4 linked regions of the Rhinolophus ferrumequinum genome follow. The protein of the gene in region 2 purifies or fractionates together with the protein of the main gene of each other region. This does not show direct contact. Links are inferred from orthologs where the notes say so. Each region holds a gene or a part of one and is shown on either strand. Other genes may lie near its edges. The genes, in order: PHF5A, SNRPB2, SNRNP70 and SF3B4.

Region 1 (7,843 bases), on a different chromosome or scaffold from region 2:
CAGACAGTCTGTAGGGGGAATGTCTATGGATGACTTATAAGGTCAGCACCAATAATGTGTCCCATGCTTACCCTACTACATGCCAGGAACTACACCAAGAAGTGGGAAAAGGAGACACAAATATAAACCAAGATCACTCCTCTAAAGCAGTGTCACCTAGCTGGCGGATCAAATCAAGCAGGACATGATCTGACAGGCAAAGGTAAGTGCAAATCAGAGTTTAGGTAATGAGGGAAGTTCAAGTCACCAACCGAAATTATGTTTTTCGTATTTTTATCGATGGCTCTTCTCATCTCCCTAAATAACAGAAGACTTAATAGTGTAAGAAACAGTTTTATCTGGTTTGCTAAGTCCCACTTACTGAGGTTAGACAGGACCGAAATGCAGGCTGCTGAAGTGGCTGGGTTATTTCTCCTCAACATGGACACACCCTACCAAAAAGATTTACAGAAGGACAACTCGGTGTAATGGGGACACCACTCGGTTTAGTCAGACAGTCTGACTAAACTTGCCACTTTTTAGCTGGGTGAGGGGCTGTAAAATGGGGCTAATAATCCCTATTTAACACAACTATTGTAAAGAATAAGCGAGATAACATCTATAACCTACCTACTCTTTACTCATGGGAATATTAAGATTTATGTATCTTTTGCCTTATCCTAGATTAGGTAACCAGATACTTTCCACTAGCCTACGTACTGTATAACACTTTCTTTTATTGTGTCATAAGAAAAAAACAAGCTGGTTCATGAGACTTCCCCCAAGAAGTCTGCTAAGGAAAAATGGTAAAACTCGCCCTTAGTATAGATCTATAAGTCCTCTCTATCAAGCTCAAGGAAGTGAATAACTGGCCACTGCTACCACACAGTGTCAAGGGACACAAATGTCATGCAACAGAATCAATTCCACAATATCAAACCAAAGGCATTCTTTAGCTGAAATCAACCTGAATTTCCCCAAATTCAAATGTCACCACATCTACCCAAACAGTCCTTAATGACAGCAAAGAGAATTGGTGGCTATCACACACCATGCACTGTGTTAGAATTTACAAAATATAGGACATTATTTCTGAATTAAAAAAATCAAGAGAGACATCAAAGGAATAGAGAGGGCTTTCCAAATTGCTGGTGTTGACAAAATGCTTCTCTTGCAGTTTTGCCCTTGATGGAAAATAACTGCCTTTTATTGGACTACACCCAGTTGGGCTCAAAGAACTTGAAAAAATTATAACCTAGATGACTAGCTGAACATACTAATCTCCACAGATCATAAGAGTTTGTCATGGAGAGCGGAGTGTTTTTAAATAAAAGGAAAGATCAAACGGAAAGCTTAGAACATACTCACATCCTTCTCCTGAATGGTGCACTCCTTACAGTAATATGCATCGGAGACTCCGGGGCCTCCACAGATCACACAGCGCCCCTGATAGGAGCCATAGTTACACTCATCACATATGCGCACCAGGGTGCAGGGCCGCACGTAGGAGTCACAGATCACGCATTTGCCATCACCTGTGAGGAAAAGAGAATGGAGTAATGCCCACTTACAAGCAGTACCTGAAGTCCTTTGCCCTCCTCCTGCTATGGGGAAACACACGAGTCTCCTGACAGTGATTCTGGGGCACTCTACTTTGGCATCACAAAACTTGGCTTACTTAGCGTCCATCCCCACAATACATGGGAAACATTAATCAACTAACATGTAAAGGGCTTAGAACAGCACTGGGTAGGTGATAAGTCTACACAATTACTGGCAAAAACTGTGTTGGAGACCAGGTCGTGCTACTTTGTGTCCAAAGCTAGAGATTTTCTCAAAACCTAAACGCTGTCTAAAATGTGCAAGTTGGAGTGGGGAAGTGGAGGGGGCCTCTGGTTGCAGCCTGGCATCCAGTGTTTACATGCTTCCGGGCGCAATGACTCAAGGCCCGCTGGGGCCCCACAGCAAATGCCCATTTGCTGATTCCACAGAAACTGTGAGTAGGCCGGGGTGGGGTGTTCTGGAGGGCGTGTTCGACTCACATTTTTCACACAGTCTTCCGATGGCTGCAAAGTAAAGAGTACAATTAGCATTAAAGGTTTGATGAAGAGAGAAAAACATCCTCGAGCTTGGGGTGTGGATCGGAGCAGGGACTGCAGCGAGCCCTGACCCATCCATCCCTCATAAACTTCCCAAATCCACACCATCCTAAAGCCCCTCCCAGGTCTTGGGCAATAAAACTTTCTCCGGACCCCACCCCGGTCGCCCGCCTTCGGCTCCCAGCAAGAGCGCCACCGCCTAGTTTTCATCACAGGCCACAAAACCCGCGCGCGCCTACACTGCGGACCGTGAGGCGGGAAACGTGGCACCTCCGAAGCAAGACCCTAGAAAGAGATGGAAACCTCGGACTCCCCAGCTCCTAAGACCACCCCCACCCAGGGAGCCGAGCGCATGGAAGCGGTCTCACCAACACCAGCCTGCTTGCGGCAAAAGATCAAGTCTGGGTGATGTTTAGCCATAGCACACACTCAAGCGGCCACCGGAAGCTGCGGGAACTTCCGTCCGACCTTTAACCCCCATTGTACCTGCCTCCTTGTCGCCGTGATTGGTCCTCTAGGCTTCCATCAGCGTTCACAATCTTTGTACCATGCCCTGCTCTAATTCGCGCGATCAAAACCCTAGCGTTCCAAAGACGAGTTTCTGTTGGGGAGTCAGGTCCGGGCAGGTGCGTGAGAGTCATATAAAAATGCCTTTCCCAGATTTGGATGGAAGAGACAAATTCCAAAGTGTAAAGATGAAACTTGTATTGGGATAAATCATCCGTGTTTTTTCTTCAAGATACATTCAAAAGGTTTATTGCACCAAATGCACAGAAAAATGGAGCAAAACAATACATGAACAAATTTTAAGAAAAATTTCCCATACATTGACATTGATATCTCTTTGATCAAAAATGTAAAGTACTATCAACGTATCTTAATGGAGCTTCAATTATAACAAATCCGAGAACTTTCTACATTGCAATCTTGTTTCCAGGATATATAGGTCATCATTCCGTGTTTTTATGCAGCTCTCTTTCCTCTTCCGGGTCGGTCCCTAACACGGGAGCTCCGCCCACTGCGCTTGAGGGACTCAAGTGCCTCTGCGGAGGCCCCGCCTTTGCCGTGACGCCTCTTTAGACCACGCCCCCCGAGGGCTTTAAATAGGCTGTTTGTCACGTCACTTTCACGCGACCTCATCTTTGTCAGTGCACAAAATGGCGCCCTACAGCCTCCTGGTGACCCGGCTGCAGGTGAGCGAGCTCAGGGCCCTCTGGGTTCACGGGGGCGGGGTACCTCCTACTGTGCCTGCGGCTGTGGGCGCGGCGCGGCGAGGCGGGCCCGACCTGCGATGACTTTGTGTACCTGTCCCGACTGTGGGCCCTGCGCCCGTGTCCGATCCTCCGGCGCCCGAGGTCAAAGCGTCCCCGGCTCAGTCAGCTCTCCCAGGGCTGTCTCCGCCCCGCGGGAAGCGTGGGTCCAAGCAGCAGTGGCCGGGTGAAGAGTGGAGGCACTTCTTTCTCCTATTTGAGGACCGCACTCCCCTTCCCCGTAGGGTTTCTTTCCGTTCCTCAAGGTGAGGACAAGGTGACTGGGGGTGTGGTCGTGGTTGAGCCCGCTGGGCCCAGCGCCTAAAGGCCTCGCTTTTCATTTCTCAGCAGCAGAGACTTGCTAGCCAGGTGCATCTACAATTGCCAGGCCTGGAGTCTGGAGAAGAAACTAGAATCCTGTTGAATCTTTTGAGGATCCTGCGGAACACATAGCCAAGACTGAGGGAGTGGGGGTGGGGGTGTCTTCCGACCCCAGACGTAGTAAATAGTAATAACAGTAGTCTCGCTCTCACCTTTGCACAAGATTGAAAGACTTTTAATTCCTTATCATACTTTGAGTCATATAATCATCTAAGATGATTACTCTTATTTAATAAAGTAGGTGAAAGTTAACCGCTGTCACGCAAGTGGCCTGAGCATCTGCCTTCCTTCTAGTCCCTCTGCCTGCCTTGTTCCTGTCAGCCTGTCCTCCCAGCACTTGCTCAGCCAGAGTATGATCCTTGAGCTAACATTTGTATTTCTGAGAGTACTAGAATGGAGTATTTGGGGCTCACCTTTAGTTGCTTTTCAGTTACTAGGTGCAGAGGGTAAAGAGACACACAGTTTGACCTTGACTTTCCTGTTATGAACCATCTAGAAAATTGACTGTGACTCCCAGATGTCTTTTTCATGTCTGACTTGACAACCCTTGGAAGGTGTTATACTTTAAGGTTCAATGTCACGCATGTATTTGTTAATAAAAATAAAGCAAGCATTTGTAGTCATTCTTTGATAACCGTTTACATTTAACTTTGTGAATCTACTTTGAATCAAGTGGCACAACTTTGGTTATAGAATTTAGAAAGTTGTTATTTGCTGTACTCTCAGGAAACATTTGTTACTAGAAGTTATCTTTTTTTTTATCACTGCTTAAGTGTAAACCTTATGGTTAAAGTGAAATCATCATTTATCTTAAAACACTTCTCATCTCTCAATTCTGAACAAAGACAAAGAATTTGTCCTAATTATTTCTTCAGATCTTTTGATTTTCCAGGTTAACAATGTGGAAATACTGTAGTTTCTTCCTGATCCTGCTGTGCCTTGTAGTGAAGTCAGGCAAGATTATTTGATAAGATAAATGATTACTTGGATGAGAGGACTAATATCACAGTATTTTTGAACTGAAAAAGGATCTTGAAAAGCATGAATGTTAGTCCAGTATAGAAAGAGATCTGGACCCTGTGACCTTCAGCAAATTACTTCTGTATTTTAGTTTCCTCATCTTTCAGTTGGGGATCACCTACATTGACAAACGTTTATTGAGTTCTTGGTGATTGGCTTCTACTCAGATAGTTATGATGATTGTTATAAAGTCCTGAGAAAGTAGAATATATTTGTTTATGATCTTGTAGTCCAGCTTCGTCTTTTACAGATAGAAAATGCAAGACTTTGGGAGCCTGAGCGGTTTCCAGGAGCAGGGTCACGATTAAAATTCAGGGCTCCTTGTTTGTTCATTTAGCTAAGATGAAGGAACAGCATTATACCACACTGCCTCTTAGTAGCCAGGCTGTCTTAAGGAACGGCCAGCTAACATTGTCCCCTGAAAACCTTGTAAATTTAACTCTTTTGTTTAGCTCCATTTGAGATATGATGGTACTACCTTAGTTGTCATGTCATGCATAAAATTTTTTCCCTGCCTCATTCACCCCATATTTACTGAGCACCCACTGCTTGCCTCAGATACAATGATAAGTAAAGCAGACATTCCTGTTCTCATGGAGCTTCCACTATATTCTAATGTATTCTACTATGGAGAGCCTTGGAGATCTTTCTCAGTCAAAATATTTTTCTCCTGCCCTTGGCTGGAAGACAGATAATAGAATGATGGCAATTACTACCCTGAAAATAAGATCTAGCTGGAAATCAGCTCTAATGCGTCTTTTGGAGCAAAAGTAATACTGGGTTTTATATTTTATTTTGTGCAAATAACTATGGATGGTAAATAAAAGGGTTTGGGCACTTGCAAATACTTTTCTTAGGTCTTTGGCTTTGTCTTGAGGTAGCGGGGTGCAGAGTTTTCATTATGTGACCTTGGGGAAGCCGTGTAACCTCTTGTGTGTAAATCGGAGATGGAACTACAAAGAAGTCTGACATTTGACAGAAGTTAAAAGTGCGTCTATAAAGTATCACATTTTTGAATTATGAATCAGGTCATTCTGGTCGCATGTTCACTGTGGTACCTTCTCAGGTGTCCTGTGGTCAACTCTTGGTTTGAATTGAGTGAATGAATGAATGATTGAATGGAAGACGAAACAAACTTCCAATCTCAAATTTGGGCATAGGGAGTAGAATCACCGTTTTGAGGACTAGGGGAGCACACCGTCGCCTTTTGGACCTACTGTTTCCAAAATGTTGATTGAAAACTTACTGTATGCCTAGCACTGTTCTAGACACGGAGTGCAATAGAGAACAAGAATAGTAGAGCTTATATCGTAGTCCTGAGGAGACAAAATAAGCAAGTAGACAAATAAGAGAATTGTAGCTACTAAATGCTGTAAGGAAGATAAGATAGGATAGTCTGGTAGAGAGAGTAAGGCTCGGACGTGGCATGGCTTAAACCAGAGTGGTTGGGGAAGGCCTCTCAGAAGAGGTGACATTTGAGCCAACATGTCAGTGATAAGGCAGCCCTTCAGCATTTTGGGGAGAGGGAGACTTCAAGTAGAAGGAATAGCATGTGCAGCATCTGAGATAGGTATGAGCTTAGCTGAGGATAAGAAACGAGGCCAGTGTGGCTGAGCTGTCGAGAGAAGAGAAAGGTCTGAGCAAGAGGTAGCAGGCAGGGTGGTGTAGGCTCTGGTAAGGACATTGGGTCTTACTCCAAGTGTAATAAAGGTTTTAAGCTGTGGAGTGACAGGATCTGATTTATAGTTGAGAAAAATCATTCAGGCTACTGCATGGATGATGGATCCCAGGGACAAAAGAGGCAGGGAGACCAGTGGGGCTGTTGGAATTAACCAGGGAGTGGTGAAGGTGTCTGGGACTAGCGTCCTGGTAGTGGCGATGTTTTGGAGGCAGACGGGTTGGATGTGTAGTGTGAGGGACAGGGAATAATTAAGCATGACTCCTAGGTCATGGGACAGAAGCAACTGAGGGATGGGTGAACTTGAACTCAGTAGTCATGTGTTTGCTGAGTACTTGTATAACTTAGGTGAGGGCTGAAGCTGGTTTATAAATTCTTGATCTTTTTATCAACTCTCAACAAGGACCTGTATCTCACAGGGGAGGAAGCTGCATGTCTCGCCCCAGGCTGCCTCAATTGAGTATGAGCATCTTGCCTGAAGTGAGCCCTGTTCTATCTTGGGCCTTATGCTGGTACCTGGTGACTTCAAGAGGGCCACATGAAAAGTGTCTAAAATGAGTGTTGATGCTTGAGCAGTCCCACTTCTTTGGCTCCAGCTTTCTTTGATGCCCTGCTTTGAAGGCTCTGGACCTCTCAGCATAAAGCAGGTGGGGACTGCAGGGAGGCTGCAGCATTTTAAAAAGCAGCACATGGAATATCAGGAAACTTCTTCTGCCACAGACTTAATGTGTGGCTTCAAGCAAGCCCTCTACCCTTGGTGGCCCTCAGGTTATACACGTGCAAAATGGGACAATCAATAGGTATCCTGCCATTAAGGGTCCTGAAAGCCTAAGAATATTTGAAAAGTTCTTTAGACTCTAATGCATTATAAAAATTTGTGAATAGTTTCTGGTGTTATTTTAGGAATAGGCCCTTAATGAACCTGTAGAAGCTCTTTATTTTGGGTGTCCTAAAGGGCATGGAGAATGTTTGTTTGTTTGTTTGTTTGTTTTTTTGGGGGGGTTCCTTCTGCAAAGCTTGGGCCAAAGGAAAAGGCACCAGGTTTGGAGCAAGGTCTGGAATTCCACCTTTGCTGTGTGGCCCTGGGCAAAATAACTAACATTCCAGAGCCTCAGTTTCCTAGTCTGTAAAATGGGCACATTATTTTCTGCCTCAGGGTGGCTGTATTAAATGGGACTGTGTGTATAAAGTACTTGGGGCAAATCTGGCCCAGCATGTAGGCACCTGGGGAATGTTAGTCTGTCTCTAATCCTGGAGATGGCCGACAGCCTTCATCGCCCCAGCATTTACCCTCAGCTCATGCATTTAAAAAAGACTGGCTCTGGGGAAATTGCTTGTTCCTTCCATAGTCTCCGTGGATATCGGGTATGTGACGGTTATTCGGGAAAACCTTTTGGGTACTGCTGTAAGAGAGCTGGGAGAAGAGGTAGGAATGA
Region 2 (7,989 bases):
ATCTTCTTCCAGCAGCTAAACGTGAATCTCACCATGTCCTCCTGAGTTTAAAACTTTCCATGTGTAACTATTTTATTTCCTTTCATTGTTATTCATTAATAAAGCCTCTCAAGTTAAATCTATGAATATTCCTTATAACATTGCTTTATCTAGACTGCATAGCTTCTGATATGTATATTACACAGTGGAATTTTCTGAAACTTCAGATTTCCTCTCTAACCCATGGCTTTTGTGGTGTTGTTTTGTAAGTTTACGAACAGAAGTTTCTTTTTAATCTTCTGACTTATTGTTAATTCCTAATTATTTTGAGATGAGAATATTGCCTATACTGCCATTCTTTTTTAAATATTCGATCTCAATGTTTTGTTTTTGCCCATTTGAACTGTCATAAATTAATGAGTGAATTATAAAATCTACTACTGTTCCTATAAAAATAGATAATTAAACCCAAATTCCCTTTAACTCATAACAGCAGAAAGCAATAGCCATAGATTTGTAAACATATACGTGAAACGATTATACCACTCATAGAGAGTAAAGCCAAAACAGTAAGATCAACCTACCATTGGTTTACCATAAAATGGAAATCCCTGCAACTGTCTCAGGGCATTCGTGGAAGAGCCCAGTTCTTTAAATATAACAAAGGCTTGTCCCCTCATCTTCATGGTCTTTAAAGCCACAATATCTACCACGTGGCCAAACTGAGAAAACAGGGCATACAGGGATCTCTTCAATTCTGTGCAAAAGTAGAAAGGAAACAAGTTATTTGTGAATGAAACAAAGACAAAATCCTTCATAAAATGACACTGCATTGAGTGGCCCCTGCCTCCACCATTCACTCTTTTATTTATACAAAGTTACAAAGTTTAATAACATCATACTATTCCCATTGGCTATCTAATTTTAAAAAGTTATTTGAAACCGTTGTATCTATGACTAAAAACATATTCAATACATTTTCAGCCCACATCTATTTGATTTTTAAAAAGCCTTAAAATTCTTACCCCAAAAGAGAAACCATTATTTCAGGCACTGAGAAAGATGACTGACTAAATGAGAAGTTTCGAAGTAGCACAATTTTTAAGACAGTAGAAATTAAACACACTTCGGTTGTTAACCAGTATATTTAAAAAGCACTTACCTTCTTTTTTAATTTTGTCATTCATATTGTTGATATAAATTGTATGATTTGGTCGGATATCCATGTTTTGGGTTAAACTGTTCAAACAGCCTAAAGAGACAGTAAATATTCTGTTATAAATAGGGAAGATTATTAACTTAAACTCTAGCGTGGCATTAGGATACAACACAAGGGTTTATTAACTTTGGTTCCCTTTCAATCCCAAGTGTCAGAGAATACCACTTTGGAAGTGTCTTTAAAACCTCACCAACACTTTGCTAGCCATCCTTTTTAAACCAAAAGAGAACAATTCTCAAGCTCAAAACCTGGTAGAGCACTACTACCTAGGCAGATTTCAATAACATTATTTTATTTAATACATTCATTTTTATACTTATCTTTCACTTACAACTGACAGTGTTTGTCTAACTACTTATAACTTTTCTAAGCAAATTATTAAAAATTAAGTAGATCTGAAGAAAAATGAAAAAGAAACTTAGCAAATCTACATCCAGTAAAAATCACTAAGTTAGAACATTAATGAAGTTTGCCAAGAACTACTTCATGGGTATACTTATAAAGCACTTTCATATCTATTACTTCATTAATACACACCATCACTAACTGTCCCAACTGCAAAGTTACCTCTAACCAGCTTGAGAGAATAGAGCGCAGAGAGAGCAGTACCGCATGATGGTTAAGAGCTCAGATTCTACTACCAGCCAGATCTGAATTCAAATCCTATCTATGCACCTAACTAGCTGCTCGACTGAGGGCAAGTTCCTTAATCTCTCAGGTTCACAGCTGTAAAATGTGGATGGTAACAGCCTTTACCCAGTAGAACTCAGAAGACTAAATGAGATAAAGATCTAGCACAGTTCTTGCATGGACAGCAAGCACTAAGTGTTGTTATTGAAGGTTAAGGGCCTTGTCTCAGGTCACATAGCTAATAAGCAGCAGGCCTGAGAACTCAGCTCTTGTCTTCCGGTCTCTTGCACTTTTCTTTCACATTCACCTCACGATTTCATTTTTTACATTGTTTTTGGTTGCAAATTCTGACCTTGATTTCCTTGGACGCCCCACATATTCCTTAACTTCACAACTACACCCATTGTATGTGAACTGCAAAGGATGACTGACAAGGGAAAAGTCTGTACTTGTACAGGTAATAGGTGAAAAAAAAGCAAGGCTTCCCAGAGACTTGCGACCCCCTAACCTGAAACCTGGAGGGAAAGGAAGTGATAGAGAGATCAAACTGAAGGCAGAGAACAGAGGGCAGACTCTTGCAATGTATCTCGTGCGAAGTTTGACGGTGGCCCGGGCTAGTGAGGGGGCAACGGAAGTCGCTGCCCAATGCAAATGGCAACTGAAAGCCCATACCGAGCTGTAAATTAGCATAAGCGAAGGAACTATTAAGATTATCTTTCACTCCGTACGCGGGAGTCTCCCATCTCTCCAGACACAGGCACATTCGCCCAAAGCCCCAGCCCGAAGCCCAAGAAAGCAGCCACGGATCCCAGCACCGACCCATCTCAGTAAAGAGGCTCGTAAGTTAGGGGGCCCGGCCGGACCAACGCGGCAGTCTCTATTGCTCCCTCGCACATTAGCTAAGCCTTCCGCGAACCCTGGGCCGGACGCGCACGGTTCCCCCCATCCCGCCTCGTCCACTCCCTGCTCCCACAGGGGAGCGCTGGGCCCGCGGCCACCTGCAAGGGAGAACCGAACCAGCAAGGGAGAACGCGCTCACACTCACCTGAGGCCGGCGCCGTGGCCACTAAGAACACAAAGCCGGAAACGTAGCCAGAAGCCGGAAGTAACCCTACCATGCGCCTCAATCGAGCGCCGATAAATCGAGAAGCGGAATGAATCGATGACCCGCGGCCACAACCGGGAATCTCTGCGCATGCGCATATCTGGTGGGCGGGGAGAAGAGGTGGGAGGATGGACTGGGGGAAGGGGAGGGGTCTTGTGGGAACTGTGGAATGGAACCAATGCTGGGACTGTGGAGTGAAGGGATAGGGGAGGGCATTGATTTATTTACACTACCACGACTTTGAGCGGTTTTACCCCACACAAAAGTGCATTCCATCTTTCCAAATCTTACATAGTTTTACAGGCTCAGCCCCTCCATACTCACTACTAGGGCAGGTGCCCCGGTTTCGCCCTTCTCTGGGCTCTGGCTGCCCCCGGTTTAACATCATATTCAGGGCAGCCCGTACCCGTAACAAGTCTCCTTTGATTCCTGGGACTCCAGGGAAACTCTCTAACACTCTACTGATGAGCTTGAATCCCAGAGGCAGCTCAGTTTGAGGCCCCAAAGCGGAAGGAGGGTACTTGAGTGAACAAAACTGACAAAAATCCCCACCCTCAAGAAGCTTACATTATTTTCAAGATGTTGCAACTTTACGTGATCTTTTAAAATAAAAATCCCGATCTTATAAGACCACCTATTTGGCCCCTTCATCCATATGTCCAAGTCATAGTCAGCATTTAGAAATAACATTTATAAGTTATTTATTTTGATATCTCTGTAAGGCTCTCTGTGGGGACAGAGCCCCAGAAAGCAGTTTCCAGGCTCTCAGCCTCACATAGAAAGGTGCTGGCTCAGGTAGTAGTAGATAGCCATCAGCTGTGGCTGGTTGGCCGTCAGCTGTAACCATTGAGCCATTGGCCACTAATATAACTGCCATGGCTACGGAGGGAAGTCGAGGAGAGAGGAGGAGAGAGGAGGAGACTGAAGGAGAGTGGAGGAGAGTGGAGGAGAGTCGGTTGGTTGGCTGCAAAGTGGACAGCAGGTCACACGTCGTGTAAACCCAGCCTCCAGTGAGACCATAGTGGTATGACTTCCCTACCTATGGCTCCGTGGGTGTTCCTTTTTGGCCTAACTATAACTATATCCTGCGTTTTTGTGTGGGGAGTGGGACCAGAGACCCCGCCGGACGCCCCGTACGACACTCTCTCTCCTCATAAGGCAACCACATTTGACTAATAAACAAACACCTATAAGATCATCGGCCTAAACTCCCTCAAAAAAACCCCATTAATTTCCTATCATTCTTCCCACCCTCTCACCTCCTCACAAAATGCCTAGATTGTTCTAGGGTAATACAAATTGTTGGTGTTTAGGCCAAGCTGAATGGGAATTCCAAAAAATACATGTATTCATACATCCATTCATCAAATGTATGTAAAGCATCATCTGAAATGGTTGTTATGACCCAAGGGGAATCCAATCTTGCATCTTCCCCTTAAGTAATCTCTCTGAGCCTCAATTTCCTCTTCTGTAAACTAGGGATCATAACACAGTATTTCCCAGAAAATAAGACCTAGCGGGACAATCAGCTCTAATGCATCTTTTGGAGCAAAACTTACTTATAGACCTGGTATTATATTATATTATATTATATTATATTATATTATATTATATTATATTGTATTATATTATATAAGACTATATCTTATAGTAAAATAAGACCGGGTTTTATATTAATTTTCGCTCCAAAAGACGCATTAGAGCTGATTGTCTGGCTAGGTCTTATTTTCGGGGAAACACGGTAGTACCTCCTTTTAGTGTTATTGTGAGGATTAAGTGAGCTAAGTGTAAAGTGATTAAACACAAAATAAATGGTTTATAAATGTTATTTCTAAGTGCTGCTTATGACTTGGACATATGAATGAAAGGGCCAAATAGGTTGGTCTTATAAGATGGGAATTTTTATTTTAAAAGATCACCTAAAGTTGCAACATCTTGAAAATAATGTAAGCTTCTTGAGGGTGGGGATTTTTGCCAGTTTTGTTCACTCAAGTACCCTCAGTAACTAGAAAAGTGGCTGATTATAAACATGTATTGAATGAATGAATGAAGCTTCATGGAAAAATTAGACAATAGTAAACTTATGAAGATGCACACAAGTGTAGGAAATAATGTTAAACAACCACAGAAAAGTATTATTTTATTATACAGATATGAAAATTAGAAGAAATGTCAATAGTTCTGTCTCAGTTAAGGAATTATGAAAAAATATGAAAAGAATATGCTTAGTACATTAAAGGAAACATAAACTAAATAAAATACAATTTCTGAATAACAAAGGACAAGCTACTCTGATCATTAATAATGGCGTCTGAACAATTAATTCTATTTAATGATAATGAAGATGGCTAAACTATTTTTCTGAAAAATAATCTATAACCTAACTGATTATGCAAGTCATTCTGGCCAAGAGTGTATCATAAATATTAAGAGAAGACAAGGTGGGACTTTGCAAAGACACTCTACCTGGAAAGAAAAAAATCATAGGAAACACAGAGATTTAAAAACAGACTACACACTGTGTTCTATTAACCACTGAAAAATGGCTACTATAAATTACACTGTAAGAAGAAAATCATGTAATGCCAACTCAGTGGCAACTTCTGTATGCTCTTCCCCAGGTTCTTCTAAACAGAGCCAGTGCATCTTCCCATCCTTGGGCAGTTGCTCTGGGCTTTCCAATGGCCTGCTAATGGTCCCCGATGATTTCCTGAATGATTTTGAGAAGGCAGTAATTGATAGCATGACTGGGAATGGAATAAAGGGGAGAGAGGAGCTCTTCTGGCCCTGTGAGAAGCTTTGGATGGCCTGGTTATATAACGATATTAAGAGTTTTATAACATCTAAACTTTGATCAGATTGATGTTAAAACAACCAGCATTCCTTTATAATCAAATTCACCTCTTGAGGGTCAAATCAGAAATTGTGTAAATGTTTCCAAAACTCATATGTTTTTAAAAAGAAGAGAAAAACAAATGAGTTTACTTGAAGTTCTGTCCATTCTATGATTCACTTTCCTGTGAAACAGTTTTTTTTCTTTCTCTCTTTCTTTCTTTCTTTCTTTCTTTCTTTCTTTCTTTCTTTCTTTCTTTCTTTCTTTCTTTCTTTTCTTCTTTCTTTCTTTCTTTCTTTCTTTCTTTCTTTCTTTCTTTCTTTCTTTCTTTCTTTCCTTCCTTCCTTCCTTCCTTCCTTCCTTCCTTCCTTCCTTCTTTCTTTTTTCTTTCTTTCTTCTTTTTTTTATTGAACCAAACCCAGAGGCAGCACTATATAATACTCTAGCCAAGCTACACGTATCTACTGATGATGAAACTTGCTTATTTTAGGGGTTGAAGAAAAATTACTACAAACAGTTGAGAATAAAACTGTGTCAAGACACCTAAATTACTATATAAGGATGATAACTAAGGTGGTTCTTAGTGACTCCGAATGCACACTTATTTTCCTACCTTATCTACACGTGTTTTATGTTTCTCATTAAAATATTTTCAGTATCTTTCTGTAGTAATGTTGAAAGGGGGCTATGTTTAAAGGAAAATGCATCATAAAACTGTGGTGGATAAATTTTGGCTTATTTATGTTAGATAGAACAACGGAAGGTACAATTTGTATGTTCTTTCTCTTTCCAGGTGGTGATTCCATTAAGAAATTTATGTAGAATGAAATTATTTTTGCAACAAACATTAAACAATTCTGGGCACTATTGTTGAGCACCAAATCAGGTTTGCCTTTTCCTAGCTGGTTTGGATTATGTTGGCTGAAACTTCCTAAAAAGCACCTTCCTTCAACAAATGGTGCTGGCAGAATTGGAAAGTCATGTGTAAAAGAATGACACTGGACTGCTATCAGTCACCATGTACCAAAATTAATTCAAAATGGATGTAAGACCTAAGCATAAGACCTGAAACAATAAACTGCATAGAAGAAAACATAGGTACTAAACTTATGGACCTTGGGTTCAAAGAGCATTTTATGAATTTGACTCCAAAGGCAAGGGAAGTAAAGGCTAAAATAAATGAATGGGACCATATCAAACTAAAAAGCTTCTGCACAGCAAAAGAAACCATCGACAAAATAAAGAGGCAACCAACTCAATAGGAGAAGATTTTTGCAAACAGTGCCTCCATTAATGGACTAATATCAATAATATACAAGGAACACATGCAACTCAACAACAACAAAAAAAAACAACCCAATTGAAAAATGGGCAGAGGACCTGAAGAGTTATTTCTCCAAAGAGGACATACAAATGGCAAATAGACGAATGAAAAAATGCTCAGCATCACTAATCATCAGAGAAATGCAAATAAAAACCACAATCAGATATCACCTCACCCCAGTTAGAATGGCTATCATCAAGACAAATAGTAACAAATGTTGGAGAGGCTGTGGAGAAAAAGGAACACTCATACACTGTCAGTGGGAATGCAGATTGGTGCAGCCGCTACAGAAGGCAGTGTGGAGGTTCCTCAAAAAATTACGAATAGAATTACCATATGTCCCAGCAATCCCTCTCCTGGGTATCTACCCCAAAATCTGAAAACATTTACACATAAGGACATGTGTGCTCCAATGTTCATTGCAGCTTTATTTACGGTGGCCAAGACATGGAAACAACCAAAATGTCCTTCGATAGATGAATGGATAAAAAAGTTGTGGTATATATACACAATGGAATACTATTCGGCGGTAAGAAAAGATGATATAGGAACATTTGTGATAACATGGATGGATCTTGAGAGTATGATGCTAAGCGAAATAAGTCAGACAGTAAAAGCAGAGAACCATATTATTTCACTGATATGTGGTATATAAACCAAAAACTACAAAAGAACAAGACAAACAAATGAGAAACAAAAACTCATAGACACAAACAATAGTTTAGTGGTTACCAGAGGGTAAGGGGTAGGGGGTGGTAGATGAGGGTAAAGAGGATCAAATATATGGTGATGGAAGGAGAACTGACTTTGGGTAGTGAACACACAATGGGATTTATAGATGATGTAATACAGATTGTACACCTGAAATCTATGTAACTTTACTAACAATTGTCACCCCA
Region 3 (7,955 bases), on a different chromosome or scaffold from region 2:
CACGCCCCTGCAGTACGTAGCCCAAGTACCACCGCTCTCCCTTCCTGCCAATCCTAACTCCGCACTCTCCAGCTTAAATGCCTAAACCAAACAGAGCTTGGCAAACGGTGAGGGCTAAAAAGTGAACTGACCACCCCACTTTCCGAAAATAGGGAGGGACCTGGGGTTGACTTGGGGGAGAGAAACACAAGAGGGTTTGAAGAAGAAATCTGAGAGAATGAGAGAGAGACTTACACATTTTTAACTCTGTCTCCACTTCCTGCTGTCGCCGCTCAATCTTTTCCCGCCTCTGTCAGGAGATAGACAATTCAATGCAGATGGAAGTGCCCTGATGTCAAGGAACGTTCTTGAGAAGTGGCAAAAAAGACAGGGCCAGGAGGCAAAATATTACATACCTTTCTCTCCATGCGTTCCTCCCGAGTTTCTGCTCGTGTGGGAGGAGGGGCATCTCGAGGGTCCTGGGAACAAGAGGAGAGATGACATGGAGGGAGTGACTGGGGAAATGGCAAGGGACACCTACCCATCCAGGAAATAAGCATCTCAGCCATGTACCACTCCCATACACACACAAATAAGCAAACAAACAAGGACAGTTCCCAGGCCAGTGGAGGCGGGGGAGTGGTGAAGACCAAAGCACGGTCCATGGACCAATGCTATCAGCAAACTGTCACTGGTCTGCGACAAAAGTAGTACAGAAATCGGTAGTAAGTAGTATTCGGAAACTTCTACAGCAATGTGATGAGAGTTTTTATACCTGTAAAACTTGATAAAAATTTTATCTTCTATTTTGTAGTCTTTGAAAATGCTAGAAAAATGAAAATAATTCCTTTGTGTTTATCAAGAGCACCAATCTGCAATAGATTTGTCCTTTATCACAGATCAAATTCAGGACTAGGCCTGAAGTGAAAGGAGCCAACAGTGCAGTGCTCAAAAGCAGACAACTGGACACCCTCTGAGGGCCAACGCAGTTCCTGAAGGTCACCAACCACTCATTAAATAGTAACTGGCACATGGCTCATATCACCGAAGGGTGTCACTAGCCTGTAGCCATTAAATTAGTGTAACTGGCTACTAACATTACCTAAGTGCTGGTTCACTGAGGATGGCAAATCCTACTAGAGAGCCAATCTTCTATTATCTATGAACTTCTGCTATGCGACTTTCTTCACCTCCAGCTGCCCATTCCCCCTCAATGCCAGAACTTCCTTCTTCCGACTTCTGGCTGTGTGCCAGCATTTCTCAGGTGTGCTCTGATGCACCTTAAGAGGTGGATGTTGTTATCCCCCGTTTACGAATAAAAAAAACTGAGGCCCAGGAACCTAAGTCGTGTAGTCATGTTTATCCAGAGGGAGCCGAGCTGAAGTTCGGCAGTCCTGTGGCCTTAAGCGCCCTATCACACAGTGCTAACCGTTCATGAATGTCACCAAATTAATATCAGAAACATAACAATAACATCAATATTTGCTGACAGCCAAGCCCCATAACATATATCTTGCAGTTAAATACCCATCATGAGAAAAATAATATTATCCCCTTGCTAAGAATGAAAAAATCAATGCACTAAGAGGATACACCACTTGCCCAAGGTCACACAGCTGATAAATGGTGTGTGCGAGCCAAGGGATCACCTAACTCCAGAGTCTGAATCCTCAACTGCTAGTTAACTGAATTTTCACAAAAACCCAACAAGGGATCTATTATCAACTCCATTTACGACAGACAAACTAAGGATCATAAAGAATAAATCACGTGCCTAAGTCACACAGCTAGAAAACCGCCAGATACTGGAATCCCAAATCCAGAACAGCCTCCCCAAGACCCCCAGAACGCAAACCACTCCAAGTCTGCTCAGTGAACTCACCTCAAACTCTCGGATGTAGGGTGCAATGCCACAGTAAGGTTGATTGTGGTGTTTTTCATGTGGCAGTTTCTCCAGGGGTGGCAGGTATGGGATGGGGTCACGGGGCGCAAAGAGGGCCAGAAGGTTGGGCGGCAGGAACTGAGTCATCTTGCCAAGTCTGAGAACAGAAGCGAACCAGCCTTATGTTAGGATGGGCTGGTAGAGATGAGCTCCTATAATCCCTTATTCCCAAGAAAAGAGGGAAATGGGGTAAAGTCTTCGTATTAAAATAGGTTCTGTAAGGGCACGGCGTAATCCTACGTCACTAGGAAAAAAAGTAAATGTGAATGAGAAAGCAAGTTCTTGGAAGAGGGCTGTGTGTGGGTGGGGCAAGTCCCGTAAGGGAAACAAAGACTGAAAAAGGTTTCTAGGTAGTCTCAGCGTCCTGAGCCAGGAACTGTGGAGCTGAGAGGTCCCCTGGGGGATTATAGGAAAAACAAGGATCCTGACAGCGGTCCAGAGCAGTAGCGGCTGGTGGTCCCATACCTTGGAGAACAAGGCGAGGATCGCAGGAGGTCTCTGATCAACGGGAGAGGGTCATAATTAGCAAACCCCTAAAGCCAAGGGCTTGTGGGTAATAGATCTTGCCCCCCCCAAAGGCGAAAGGAATTATGGGTAAGGGTCCAGGACTCAGCGGCGACAGGAAAAAGGCAACGCATCGCAAGGGCCTGTGGGTAAGGGACCACGGGAGCGCTATGGGAGGAGGGCCTAAATGCCCAAGGTTCTAGCTAGGTAACGGGGTACAAAAAGGTGCTGTGGCGGTAGCGCGGGAAGTGGGCCCGGTTGAGGGAAAGAGACCGGGGCCCACCGCGGGGACTTGTGGGTAGCAGCCCCGCACCCGGTAAGGCCACTCAGTCACACTCACCCGCCGCGCGGCGCCCTCCTCGACCTGACGACGGTCCGAGGGCTCGCGGCGGCTGCGGCGGCCCCTCAGCAGAAGGGACTCCTGCTCTGGCTTGGACTCCAGCGGCGTCCGCGCTCTCCTGCCTCCGCCGCCAGCTCAGCGCGCGCACCAGGCCGCTGCTCAGGAGCCCGCGCGGCCTCGGTTGGCGACAGGGGCAAAAGGTGGAACCAGCCTCAAATCCCTCCGCCGCGCGCACTGCGCACGCGCCGCGCGAGACAAGCCCCTGCCCACACTCACGGACCGGTCGCAGCTGTGGGCACTGCGCACGCGCGAGATCACTGCCCCGCCTTCCGGCACCTTAAATTCTTGCCGCGGCCGGCTGGAGCTCGCAGTACGCACGCGCGCTTTTCACCAAGCATTGCGCCTCGGCCTCGCGCTCTGTACTCCAACTGCCTGTGTCCGCGAGACTTTACTCGGTACCCCGCCCCTTTCCCCAAACACACTTCCCCGAGTCTTGTGCGCATGCGTGAATCGTTATGTACCGTGTGTACCCTTCCGCTGCCTGGCAAAAAGTCCGCATGTGACTAGTATGATTACTTAGATGCCTAACCCTTAAAATCAATAATTGCTCACCGAGCGCCTAATGTATGCTAGGCATTGTTTGAACTTCGGGAATATAGCACGTGGCTAAAGCAAAGCCTTGTCCTCTTGGAGCTTACATTGTACTGGGGGAGACAATAAAGGCATTTAAAAGAGTAAATATAATTTCGGATAATGGCCTGCACAATAAAGAAAAATAGGGCAGTGTAAGTGGATGGGCAATGAGAGCAGGGCTATTTTAGAGAGGTTGTTAATGGAAGGCCCTTCTGACGAGATGACATTTGAACAAAGGCCCTGTGGAAGGGAGACCTGGGCGGGACTAACAGCAAGTGCAAAGGCCCTGATTTAAGGACAACTGGCAGAAATCCCACTTTGTGGACCTTGAGATCAGAGAGCTGGCAGCTGTGTTATTTAGGGCCCTGTATACCTGCAAAGAGTTCAATATTGTATTTTAAGGTTTTTTTTGAATAGATTCAATTGCCTGTTTAATGATAATTACAGAAAATTATTACAAAATTTAAGTGACCAATTTCATGTTTCAAGAAACGAGTAATATAAGAGCACATTCTTTCAAAAATATTTTGACATATTTGCTTTATGTATGTATGTGGGAACTCTGCACTATTTTTTGGAGCTTTACTGTAATTCTAAAATTATTTCAAAATAAAATTTAAAGAAAATAAACAAAGCTAAATGCCTTAATAATGTATTTTTTTTCTGTACCATTTGAAAGGAAATTGCTGAGGCACTTCACCTCTAAATGCTTCAGTATATGTCTTCTAAGAATATGGCCAATTCTCCTACATAACCACAAAATTACTTTCACCCCTAAGAAAGTTTTCCCAACTGACCCAAGAATATTTTGTTTTGATCCAAACCAGGAGCCAGTCAAGGTTCACACATTGCATTAGTTGTCATATCTCCTTGTTTTAATATAGAATAGATCCACACACGCACACACACTTTTTTCCCCATTATGTTGGTTTTTCCCAGAGGTCAGACTAGTTTCCAGTTAAATGTCCCATAATCTAGATTTGTCTGATTGTTTCCTTCTATTGTTTAGTTTGTTGCACGCCCCCGGCTTTGCCTATACAACGGACATTGAGTCTGAAGGTTTGAATAGACTGAAGCATTTTTGGCAAGAACATTTTCCTGGTGCTACTTCAGAAGTCATATTGTATCAGATCTGGAGGTTCATAATGTCAAATGGTTCCCCTATTAGGATGCTGAGTTTGGTCACCTCGTCAAGGATATAACTGCCAGATCTCTCTTTATAAAGGTACATTTTCCCTTTGGTAATCTGAGCAGTGAAGCTTTGCAAATATTCTGTTCCCCAACCATCTCTCACCTCACGATTGTAGCAACCATTGCTGATCCTTGCCTGAATCAAGTATTACATGGGGGAGAGGACAGATTATCGTTGAAATGAAATAGGAAGTAACTAAAGCGTTTTGATCACGAGGACGTAATCTAATATATATATATATATTTAAAGATCACTTTAATGCATTTTTAAAAATGCAGCGAAGGAGCTCAAACAGAAACAGGGAGATAGTTACCATGTTTCCCCGAAAAAAAGACCTAGTTGGACAATCAGCTCTAATGCATCTCCTGGAGCAAAAATTAATATAAGACCTGGTTTTGTATTATATTATATAAGACCCGGTCTTATGTTATAGTAAAATAAGACCGGGTCTTATATTAATGTTTGCTCCAAAAGACTCATTAGAGCTGATTGTCCGGCTAGGTCTTATTTTTGGGGAAACATGGTAGGAGGCTACAATTTCCAGGGAAGAGATGGTGACTTGGACCGAGACAGTAGCAGTGAGGTGGAAAGAAGTGGTGGGATTCGGGATATATTGTGAAAGTAGAGCTCACTTATTCAGTTGCTGTAAGAGTGGGAGTAGAGTGTATAGAAAAGAGAGAAGTCAAAACTAACTCCTAGAGAAAATTAAGGAGACAATCAAATGCAATGTGGAATCCTGGATTAGATTCTGAACCAGAAAAAGAACATCCATGGGAGAGGTGAAATTCGTCAGGTCTACAGTATTATTGGTTAATAGTATTATATCAATTTTAATTTCCTGACAAATAATTGTACTTGGTCATGTAAGAAGTTGACATTGGTGGAAGCTGGGTGAAGGATATATGGGAGCTCTGTACTATTTTTGTAACATTTCTATAAGTCTGAAATCATTTCAGAGTAACAAGTTTAAAGAACAATTTTAAGGGCCGGCCCGGTGGCTCAGGTGGTTGAAGTGCCGGGCTCCTAATGCCGAGGTTGCCAGTTCAATTCCCACATGGGCCAGTGAGCTGCGCCCTCTACAGCTAAGATTGTGAACAAGGCTCTCCCTGGAGCTGGGCTGCTACAGGCTGCAGTGTGCTGCTGGCTACTGACTGCCTCCCGGTGGCGGGGGAGGGAAGCGCAAGGCTTGTAATACCAGCATGTGCCAGAGAGCTGTGTCCTATACAACTAGACTGAGAAACAACGGCTTGAACCAAGTGTGGTGGGGCGGGGCGGGGGGGCAGGAGAAGGGGGAAAAAATGAAGCTAATCTCCCCTTAATAATAGTCCTTAATAATAGACTCACTCCTACATTTGTAGACTGAGCAATTTGGTAATTGATAGTGCTATTTCTCTAGAGATGAGGGAAGGCATAGGGAAGAGTGGGGTTATGGAGGAGGAGTTGTGGGCTTAGACATGTCAGAGAGGCCCATTTGACACTCATATGCAGTTGTGGAGTTGAAAGTTGGGACATACGGTAATTACAGAAGAGTCGGGGGCTGGAAAACCCAGATTTGGGGGTTATTGGAATAAAGATAGTATTTGAAGCCATGCGATCAATGAGCTCACCTAGGAGATGAGAGAAGATAGAGAAGGGGAGAAGTCTGAGCACCGAGTCCCAAGGCCCTCCACCATTTAGAGTTTAGATAAAGCAGGAAGAACCAGCAAAAGAGACTGAGTGGGAGTGATCACGAATTTTGGAGGAAAACTGGGGTAGTGAGGGGTCCAGGAAGCCAAGAAGGAAAATGCTTCAAGGAGGCAGTGTTCAGTGTGTCCAATGCAAAAGGTAAGGACTGAAGTTTGGCAACCATAGGTGACCTTGACAAGACAATGGGAGGGAGGTGAAGGGAAGACCTCAAGTAGGGAAAATTCTTCAGAGAAGTTTTGCTACAAAGAGAGCAGAGAGAGGTGATAAGAGCAGGAGAGGGAAGTAGAGTCAAGGAGGTTTTTTTTTAAGATAGAAAAGATATTAAGATAAAAAGTCTTATGATACATTTGTCTGCTGATGGCAAAAAAAGTTACTTATACACCTATCATGGCCACTCTTAACTACTTACTTATCTTATTCATGAGACCTGGAAACTTATGTCCACACAAAAACATGTACAAGGATTTTTACATCAGCTTTATTCATAATCACCAAAAATGAAATGTAACTTAAATGTCCTTCATAGAGTGAATGGATAAACAGATGGGTGTGTATCCATGCCTTAGAATACAACCGAGAGTTAAGAAAGTTAAGAAAGAAAGACCTACTGATACCACAGGAATGAATCTTCATTTTATTAAGTGAAAGAAGCCAGATTCAAAGGCTATCTACTGCATGGTTTCATTTATTTGACATTCTGGAAAAAACAAAACTACAGGGACAGAGGGAGAGAAAACAGAGCAGTAAGTAGTTTCCATGAGCAGGAAACCGGGGGTGGGGCGGGGTGCAGAGGAGAGCGGTTGACTGACTACAAAGGGAAGGAGGAAACTCTAGGAAAGGGGTGGGACTTTTCTATATTTTGATTCGAGTGGCAGTTACATGTCTGTATACATTTGCCAAGACTCATAGAAATGTACACTATAAAGGGTAAATTTTATTGTATGTAAATTAAACCTTGATAAACTTGACTGAGCACAAAACATGGCTCCCCTAAATAGTCATTAATTACAAGGGGAAAAATACAAACTTTACAATGGAGAAACCCAGCAGACACTACCCTAACCAAGTGATCAAAGTGAACATTACCAATGATAAGACATATCAATATTGTGCCCCCTATATGATGTGATGAGAGGGGAATTTTGTGTCTGTGGCATGCTCCCCCACAGAAAAAACCAACACTATAATCTCAATCTAATCACAGTAAAACACAAAATGAGAGACAGTCTCCAAAATAACTGACCAGTATTCTTCAAAAGCGTTGAGGTGATTAAAGACAAGGAAAAAGTAAGAAACGATCAGATTGCAGGTGACTAAGGAGACATGACAACTAAATGCAACATGGTATCCTGGATTGGATCGTACAATGGAGAAAGGACATTAGTGGGAAAACGGAGGCAATCTGAAAGTCACTTAGTCAATAGTATTGTACCAGTGTCAATTTCTTAGTTTTAATGCAGGTGGTATGGCAATGTAAGATGCCAACATTAGGGGACATTGGGCGTAGGATATTCACAAATTGTGCTATCTTTGCAATTTTGTTTTACGTTTTTCCAGTTTTTAAACGAATTTCTGATGTACAAAACAATGCAATAGTTAGACATTTCACCCCTCACAAAGTGATAACCTCCCTCCCCCAATCTATTGCCCCTCTGACATCGTATGTATCTATTACAATT
Region 4 (7,825 bases), on a different chromosome or scaffold from region 2:
GCCCCCTGATCCTTCGCTTTCTCCTCAAATCCCCCATATCCCACAGACTGATTTCCTGTTTTTCCGGACCCCAACATATATTCTTGTTTTGAAACTGCTTTATTGAGATATAATTTACATACCATAAAATTCATACGTCACCTATCTTAGGTGTTCAACTCAATGAATTTTATTATATTTACAATGTTGTACAAATATCACCACAATTGAACTTGGAAACCTCACGGCCATTGTCGTTACTCCTCATTCCTGTCCCCAGCCCTAGGCAACCACGACTCAACTTATTCTTAACCCTTCAGGCTATAGAGCCTGAATCCCGAATCCCACGTTTTCCTGATCTCTGCCCTTCTGACCTCTCTACCCTCTATCAGATTCATCCGTAGCTGAGGATAAGTGGCTCTCAGCCCTGGAAGGGACACGGTGGTTGGACTACATCAGGTACTTCCTCTTTTTCTAGCCATGATTTATGATTCAACCCTCCCCAACCTTCTGTTAACGTGGACGCCTAATGGCCTCTGAAGTCTCCTGGTCTCCCGAGAAGACCGCTGTGATGCTGCCCCTTACAAGGGGCAGGATTTTGGGCTCTGCCTCTATTACTCTCCTCAAAGCTTATCATTCTTCCGTCCTCTTCCTCACCTGCCCCTCCAGGGCTTGTCTTCGGAAGGCCAGTGACATCTCAGTCTTAGTGACATCCAGGGTTCGCTCTGTAGTACTTCAAGGTGAGTTTCTTGGATCACCTCACTCCATTACTTGACTGTGTCCTTCACCCACCTGACTGGATCCTGCTCAGGGAGGGAGACCTATTGTCTCTAATTACAGCTCCGCCTCTCCCTTTGCTAGGAACTACCATGAACTCTAACTCACCCTCCAGTGCTACCTCTGTCTCCCCATTACAGCCCGTGGTCCCTAACCAGGGTTTCCGTCCTCAGTTACCATCCTTCCATCAGTGGAATGGCATGGGGGTTGGTGTGGGAAGGAATGTGGAAGTAGGTTTGAGATTTAGAATCTGCCTCCTACATGTGAGGCTGGTTATTTCTATCCGGTGGCGTCTACAAAGTGAATCATTCAAGGTCTTTGTTTTCTCTTCACTTCTATGTGCCCTCTCAATCCTACCTACCCCAAACTTTCTCCTCTGGCCTCTCACTTCTTGCTTTGTTTCCTTTTCTCATTCTCTTCTGCCCTAGTTTCTCGGCCCCTCCTTTGTCCCTTCTCCCTCTTCATCACCCAGAGCGCGGTGATCGTGATTTCAATGGCCTCCTCTCTTCACTCGTCCAGCTGCTTTCAGCCCCTGAAGCCCGAACACTGCTTGGCTTCCAATCACTAGTGCAGCGAGAGTGGGTGGCAGCTGGACATCCCTTCCTGACCCGACTTGGGGGAACTGGGGCGAGCGAAAAGGTGAGAACATCTTGGGAAGGTTTTGGGTGGGGGCCAGCATTCAGTATTACTAAAGAAGTAAGGGGATCAGAAAAGTATACTCCATTGGAGGTGAATAAGGTCTGAAGGGTCCTGAGGGTAGACTGAGCTTGAAGGGAGACCCAGATGCGTGAGGGACCACATCTATGACATGCTCAATTCAGATTCCATTTTCTGATCTCCTTCGGGGCCCTTGTTCCGTGTCCCCCATCATTTTGTCATCCTCCCCCTTTAGGTCACCACAATCCCATCCTCTTAATTTCCCTCTTCTCAGGCCCCCGTGTTTCTCCTCTTCCTGGACTGTGTCTGGCAGCTCCTCCAGCAGTTTCCAGCTGAGTTTGAATTCTCTGAGTTTTTCCTTCTTGCTCTTCATGACAGTGTCAGGGTTCCTGACACCCTTACATTCTTGAGAGACACTCCCTGGGAACGTGGAAAGCAGAGTGGACAGGTCAGTGACTTCCAGTTTTTACTTGTCTCCCCCACCGCCACACATACACACTGAGAAGTAATTTCTGAAGTTTAGTCTTGATTTATTAAAAGTTAGGTCCATGGGTGGGAAAGGGTGGAGGTTGGTGCTCACTCTCAGCATTTGACTTTCACCCTACGTCTGATTCCTGGAGTAAGAGACGAGAGTCTGAGAACTTCTCTCTAGACCTGGGAGGAGGATTACATGTGTATATGTATGTATGTATGTATGTATGTATGTATATTTTGTTTAACCATCCCTTTTCTTGTTTCCTTTGTCCAGTTCAACTCCTATACACAAGTCTATACCCCAGGGTATTCCCAGCCCCCAGCTGGGGACTCCATTAACCCACAGCTGTCTGTCTGGGACTGGGATTTACGATACAGCCATGAACAGATACTACAATTCCGTAATCCTGGCTATGACCCGGAATACTGCCCAGATTCCTGGCTCCCTAGACAGCAGGTGAGGTGTCTAAACTTCCTCAACTCCCTTGAATTTCTCACAGGCTCATCCTACTTGATGTGGAGAAGTGGAAAGAGACAGTATCTGAGTCCCCCAGGGAAAGCTTCCCCACTCCTCTTCTATAGCTGTCACAGTCCCTGACTGTCCCCAGGAAGACAGAAATCCTAGAATAGCAGAGGGCATCCTTTTTGTTCTCATCTTCTGTCCCTTGCACACGTTTTATAAATTTCCCTAAAATCAATTTTAATCAGTCCTGAGGCCTAGGCTGAAACCTAATGAGAAGGAAAGATAAAAGCTCTCAGCGAGAGGCCAGTGCAGTGTGAGTGGGAGGCAGCTGGACATTCTAGCTCTTGACTGTTTGGGGAAACGGGTCATCTGGTTCCTAGGCTTCCAGTTGATTTCCCTTTTCCTTTTAGCCAAGCTTCATGGTTACTGGACCCCCCAGTTCTGTGTGGCTCTTCTCTAGAGGGGCCTTGACCCCCATGAATCAACTCTGTCCTTGGCGCGACAGTCCCTCCATGTTGGCAGTCTCTTCTCGTTGGCTCCCCCGACCTGCTATCTCCTCTGAAAGTCTGGCTGATCAGGAGTGGGGGCTCCCCTCGTACTGGGGAGCTTGCCCTTTACCCTCGGGGCTGCTGCTACCTGGATATCTGGGACCTCAGATCAGGTTCTGGAGACGCTGCTACCTGAGGGGAAGGCCTGAGGTCCAGGTGAGGAAGGAAGACAGGGCCTGGGAGGTGAAGGGTTTGACTGCTGAACCAGATGTTTCCAGGATCTGGAACAGCAAAGGGCTGGGGGGATTGGGAAGTGAAATACCATTCCCGTTGGTATCCAAGTGGATAGGTTTGGGAGTGTGGGTGGGGGAAGGTGCTTGTGGCTCAGATCAGGTGGAACTTAGGGCACAGTTAGAGGGGGAAAGAGAATTAAGACACCAGAAGTGGCAGACAGATTTTAGAAGCAGAGAGCTGGAGCTTCAATAACGTTCCTCTCTGCTTGTCTGCACCCCTTCCCAGACGGGCCTCTCAGCTCCCACAATCTCTGGCCTCCAGGATGAGCTATCCCATCTTCAGGAGCTATTAAGGAAATGGACACCAAGAATATCTCCTGAGGATCACTCCAAGAAAAGACATCCAAGTACCATTCTCTCCCAAGCCCGTTGAAATTGCTTTCTCATGGGCCGGGAAGAAGGTGGTCTGAGGGTTCAGTCTAATCCTTTGATTGTTTTATATCTGGTCTTGCTGCCTCAGCTTTCACACTCCAACTCTTAAACAAGCTTGCTGACTTGTTTCCATCACAGATGGGTGGTCTATCATGTTTGGTTCCTCAGGATTATATACAGAGGGTGCCAAAAAAAATGTATACACGTTTTAAGAAAGGAAAGAACTATTAAAATTGTAATACTCAATATATACCGATAACAAAAGATGAATACAAGTCGTGTTTGACTTCTGCAATGACAAGAGGTACTCAAAGTGGTTACTATCATGGTCCAGACATTTCTGAGTACAGCAAACTACTGCTTGAGCAACGTTGACCAAAGTGTCCCATTTGTGTATTTTTTTTGGCACCCCCGGTATATCGCGTCTTGTGATTTGAAGAATTTAGAAACAAAAACAATCCAGAATATGATCACCTGTTTTTTCAGGGCAATTCCATCCCTTTTGGATATCCAGCTTTGTGAGAGCAGAGATATGCTGTTCCTTGGTCCCAACAAGTTGGCCTACCGACCTCATTCTCCCCTCTTCTTGCTGCTTCCTGAATTCCAATTTCTATTTCTTCCCTTACAGCTTCCTGTGGGTATGGAGTGGATATGGGAGACACCCTGTCTTTTCCAATTGTATATTTTTGTAGTGACATTTCTATTTAAGGGATTCATTAAAGCGCAGTATTTATACATGTTGCTGGCATTGTTTCGTGTCTGAATAAAGGAGCCTAGGCAAGACGGGGGTGGGTACAGAGAGGCTGGGTATGACTGGAGAGAGATGGCACCCACCGTATTATTAAGGAAATAAGGGGTTGGGTCAGGTGAGGCTCTGCAGAATTCACATGCAATTTGGGGAAAAGGTTCTTCTCCAAGCCTCCCATTTAGTGGCAGACGTGGGGCAAACGCACACCGAGCCGTGGTTGCTGAGGCCGGGTGTGTCCTAGAGGTTGAAGCCTCTGGGTTCAGTGTCAACCACGCCTCAGCTTTGGTCACTTAGAGCCTCAGCTTCCCCTCACCCCCACCCCCCACCCTAACCACGAGGCCACCTCAGGCATCACTCCGGCTCCAACATAAACTGCAATCCCCTCCCTTCGGGGAAAACGAACTACTACTTCAAGCCTAGGCTGGGGCTGCGGGCGGGAGTGGAGCGCTGCCTCCACGCCTAAGGCAGCCGAGTGAGTCCTCAGCACACCCGTCTCCGGGGAACAAGTGACGATCATTTGGCACAAAAATATATGAAACACAAAGTTTTGTTCTTTTAGTTTTCAAGTTGACGTTTCGGGAGCGGTATGATCCTGCAACGTCTTGCACTGCTTTGAAAGAGGTCTGAGCGCTTCCGTTCCGCCGTCCTCGCCCTGAGAACTCAAGCGGAAGACTCGGAGAAAGACCAAGGCGCACAACAGCCCGTCCCCGGGGCCGCATCCAGTCTTAGCGGCTCCTAAGATGGCCGCCACCGCTTCCGGCCCCGCCCCACGCCGCGGCCCCGCCCACAGCCTCACGTCGGCTTTTGCCCCCGGAAGTGGAAGTAGTGACTGAGGTCGGAGGGCGGGATCGCTGCTTGGAGACGGCGGGAGCTCTTCCATCATGGCGGCCGGCCCGATCTCCGAGCGGAACCAGGGTGACTGGACGGGACAGGGGGGCGGTCTGGGGGGTCCCGAGTAGGGCCAGCAGTGTTTCCGCCCGGGCGGGAGACTGCGCCACCCAGGAGGCCGCGGGACTAGCCACTTTGCTTGTTGGGGGCGGGGTGGCCCGGTGCCGGCTACGGCCTGTAGGTGTGCTGCTTTCTAGTATGTCGAATCGCGTGCTTTCCCACTCAAAAAGAAAATCAAAAGGAGAATTTGCAGCAGGACTCAAAATTTGACTTCAGAAGATTCCCTAGTTCTTGGAAAGAGGGAGGTGTAGGGGCTTAATCTAAAACTCTCTCTTTTTTTTTCCCTTTTTGCTCCTGTACCGTCTCCACCAATTCTCCCACCTGGGTTTCATCTTCACGTTCCCGTCATCTCCTTGCACGGCATACGCATCTCTGCCCTAACTTGCTGCTCGCACCATCCAGATGCCACTGTGTACGTGGGCGGCCTGGATGAGAAGGTTAGCGAACCGCTGCTGTGGGAGCTGTTTCTCCAGGCAGGACCAGTAGTCAACACCCACATGCCAAAGGATAGAGTCACTGGTCAGCACCAAGGTGAGTACAGGCCAATAGGTCCGTTTATTTATTGAGGACAGACGGCTCCTGAGGACCCCAGCAGTATTCACAGCTGTCTTGGAATAAGCAACGTAACTAAGCATTTCTTTCTCTTAAGCCGACCTAGCTCTCGTTTGTTTCTGGAGCCATTCTTAATTGAAGTGAGGTTATTATTTTTTGTTCTTTGTGCTTTCAAAGATGGATGAGTTACGCCCTTTTTTAAGCACGTCACTTCGGTTGTGAACCTCCTGTCTTCCACTTTCCCAGGCTACGGCTTCGTGGAATTCTTGAGTGAGGAAGATGCTGACTATGCCATTAAGATCATGAACATGATCAAACTCTATGGGAAGCCAATCCGGGTGAACAAGGCATCAGCCCACAACAAAAACCTGGATGTGGGGGCCAACATTTTCATTGGGAACCTGGACCCAGAGATCGATGAGAAGCTGCTTTATGATACTTTCAGCGCCTTTGGGGTCATCTTACAAACCCCCAAGATAATGCGGGACCCTGACACAGGCAACTCCAAAGGTTATGCCTTTATTAATTTTGCTTCGTTTGATGCTTCGGATGCGGCCATTGAGGCCATGAATGGGCAGTACCTCTGTAACCGCCCCATCACGGTGTCCTATGCCTTCAAGAAGGACTCCAAGGGTGAGCGCCATGGCTCAGCAGCTGAACGACTTCTGGCAGCCCAAAACCCACTCTCCCAGGCCGACCGCCCTCATCAGCTGTTTGCAGATGCACCCCCTCCACCCTCTGCCCCCAACCCTGTGGTATCATCACTGGGGTCTGGGCTTCCTCCACCAGGTAAAGCGTTTGATTCACAATATGTTTGTCTTGGGTTTGGGGGTGGGGCAGAAAGAAGGAAAAGAACGGATAAAGAGGGACATTGAGTCGGTAGGCGATGAGAAGGGGATTGAAGGCTAGTGGTTGTGGTGGGGAGGAAAGTTGCTGAGTTTCTCCAGGAGGCGGAAGTTTTCTGTGTTGGCTGACATTGCCTCTGAGTTTGGAGAGCTGAGAGGAGCTCGTCCTGCCTGGAGAGGCCAGATTGGAACAGGTTCTCGAAAGACATTCACTCTCATTAACTGTTCTTCTGTTTCTTCCATAGGCATGCCTCCTCCTGGCTCCTTCCCACCCCCAGTGCCACCTCCTGGAGCCCTTCCACCTGGGATACCCCCAGCCATGCCCCCACCACCGATGCCTCCTGGGGCTGGAGGACATGGGCCCCCAGCAGCAGGAACTCCAGGGGCTGGACATCCTGGACACGGACACTCACACCCTCACCCATTCCCACCAGGTGGGATACCCCATCCAGGTGAGTACTCTTTGCTGGAAAAGGAAGGGATGAGCTGGGAAGAGGAGCTGTCACCACTTATGCTGCTGTCCTTTGTCTCTCAACAATAATAGTTCTAGAATGTCTTTCAGACATTTTTTTATAAAAACAAGACATTTTTTTATAAAAACAAACACAAGATACTTTACTCTCTTTAAAAACTACCACCTTGTCTCTATTTCTTACTTGTTTTTCCAAAGTTTACAACTATCCTTGTTGTTTTTTGTTTCCTTAACTTTTACTTCCATTCTTTCCTCTGGCTTCCATCTCACGGCAGTTACCTAATTGCTAAATCTAGGGGACACTTCCACTCCTTATCAGGTTTGACCTATGGTCTTACTTGAAACTGGCTATGTGTTCCTGTTTGAAAATCTTATCTCTTTCGCTTTTCTGGATCCACTTCTTATCTGTCTCCTTAATTTTAGGCACCTCAGTAGGCTCCCTTTTCTCTGCGTGTACCTAGGATTTTGTGTTTTGTTCTCCTTTCTGCATAGTTCCATTACTTGTACTTTGATGCCTCCGAGATCTGTATCTCTGTTCCATGGTTGTTCACATTCCAGACTCTTAATCCTGCTGTTGAAATCGACAGCTCCACTTTCCACCCTCCCCTTCAACCCTAGCCTTCCTCTAGTATTCTTTGTTTTCGAGTGCTTAGTTCAGAAATATGGGGCTGTGTTTGACTATTCCCTGTCATCCCACTCTTGATACCAAGTCTTATTAATATTTCTGGCGTCGGCCCTCACTGCCAGTGCCCTAGTT

The links.
Region 1: the proteins of SNRPB2 (region 2) and PHF5A purify together in Homo sapiens (affinity purification with mass spectrometry; 4 studies listed by BioGRID and IntAct, with this or other methods). This does not show direct contact. The link is inferred for Rhinolophus ferrumequinum from reciprocal best matches to the Homo sapiens genes SNRPB2 and PHF5A.
Region 3: the proteins of SNRPB2 (region 2) and SNRNP70 purify together in Homo sapiens (affinity purification with mass spectrometry; 5 studies listed by BioGRID and IntAct, counting the BioPlex papers as one, with this or other methods). This does not show direct contact. The link is inferred for Rhinolophus ferrumequinum from reciprocal best matches to the Homo sapiens genes SNRPB2 and SNRNP70.
Region 4: the proteins of SNRPB2 (region 2) and SF3B4 purify together in Homo sapiens (affinity purification with mass spectrometry; 4 studies listed by BioGRID and IntAct, with this or other methods). This does not show direct contact. The link is inferred for Rhinolophus ferrumequinum from reciprocal best matches to the Homo sapiens genes SNRPB2 and SF3B4.

Annotation. Positions count from the first base shown.
Region 1 is NC_046293.1:6,514,257-6,522,099, reverse strand, and holds the start of PHF5A (PHD finger-like domain-containing protein 5A), read right to left. Parts: upstream 3,004-7,843; 5' UTR 2,720-3,003; coding exon 2,569-2,719; intron 2,547-2,568; exon of another isoform or gene 2,499-2,546; coding exon of another isoform or gene 2,447-2,498; intron 2,046-2,446; coding exon 2,022-2,045; intron 1,515-2,021; coding exon 1,348-1,514; intron 1-1,347. Other genes in the region: ACO2 (aconitate hydratase, mitochondrial), read left to right, coding at 3,236-3,271.
Region 2 is NC_046306.1:37,113,696-37,121,684, reverse strand, and holds the start of SNRPB2 (U2 small nuclear ribonucleoprotein B''), read right to left. Parts: upstream 3,005-7,989; 5' UTR 2,947-3,004; coding exon 2,874-2,946; intron 1,232-2,873; coding exon 1,142-1,231; intron 737-1,141; coding exon 564-736; intron 1-563. UniProt on the Homo sapiens protein: Involved in pre-mRNA splicing as component of the spliceosome. Associated with sn-RNP U2, where it contributes to the binding of stem loop IV of U2 snRNA.
Region 3 is NC_046298.1:44,386,471-44,394,425, reverse strand, and holds the start of SNRNP70 (U1 small nuclear ribonucleoprotein 70 kDa), read right to left. Parts: upstream 3,013-7,955; 5' UTR 2,766-3,012; intron 2,019-2,765; 5' UTR 2,009-2,018; coding exon 1,862-2,008; intron 459-1,861; coding exon 396-458; intron 290-395; coding exon 235-289; intron 1-234. UniProt on the Homo sapiens protein: Component of the spliceosomal U1 snRNP, which is essential for recognition of the pre-mRNA 5' splice-site and the subsequent assembly of the spliceosome. SNRNP70 binds to the loop I region of U1-snRNA.
Region 4 is NC_046305.1:50,392,837-50,400,661, reverse strand, and holds the start of SF3B4 (splicing factor 3B subunit 4), read left to right. Parts: upstream 1-4,818; 5' UTR 4,819-5,132; coding exon 5,133-5,166; intron 5,167-5,601; coding exon 5,602-5,730; intron 5,731-5,997; coding exon 5,998-6,540; intron 6,541-6,841; coding exon 6,842-7,048; intron 7,049-7,825. Other genes in the region: MTMR11 (myotubularin-related protein 11), read left to right, coding at 372-438, 649-719, 1,229-1,395, 1,688-1,861, 2,162-2,344, 2,761-3,054, 3,358-3,504. UniProt on the Homo sapiens protein: Component of the 17S U2 SnRNP complex of the spliceosome, a large ribonucleoprotein complex that removes introns from transcribed pre-mRNAs.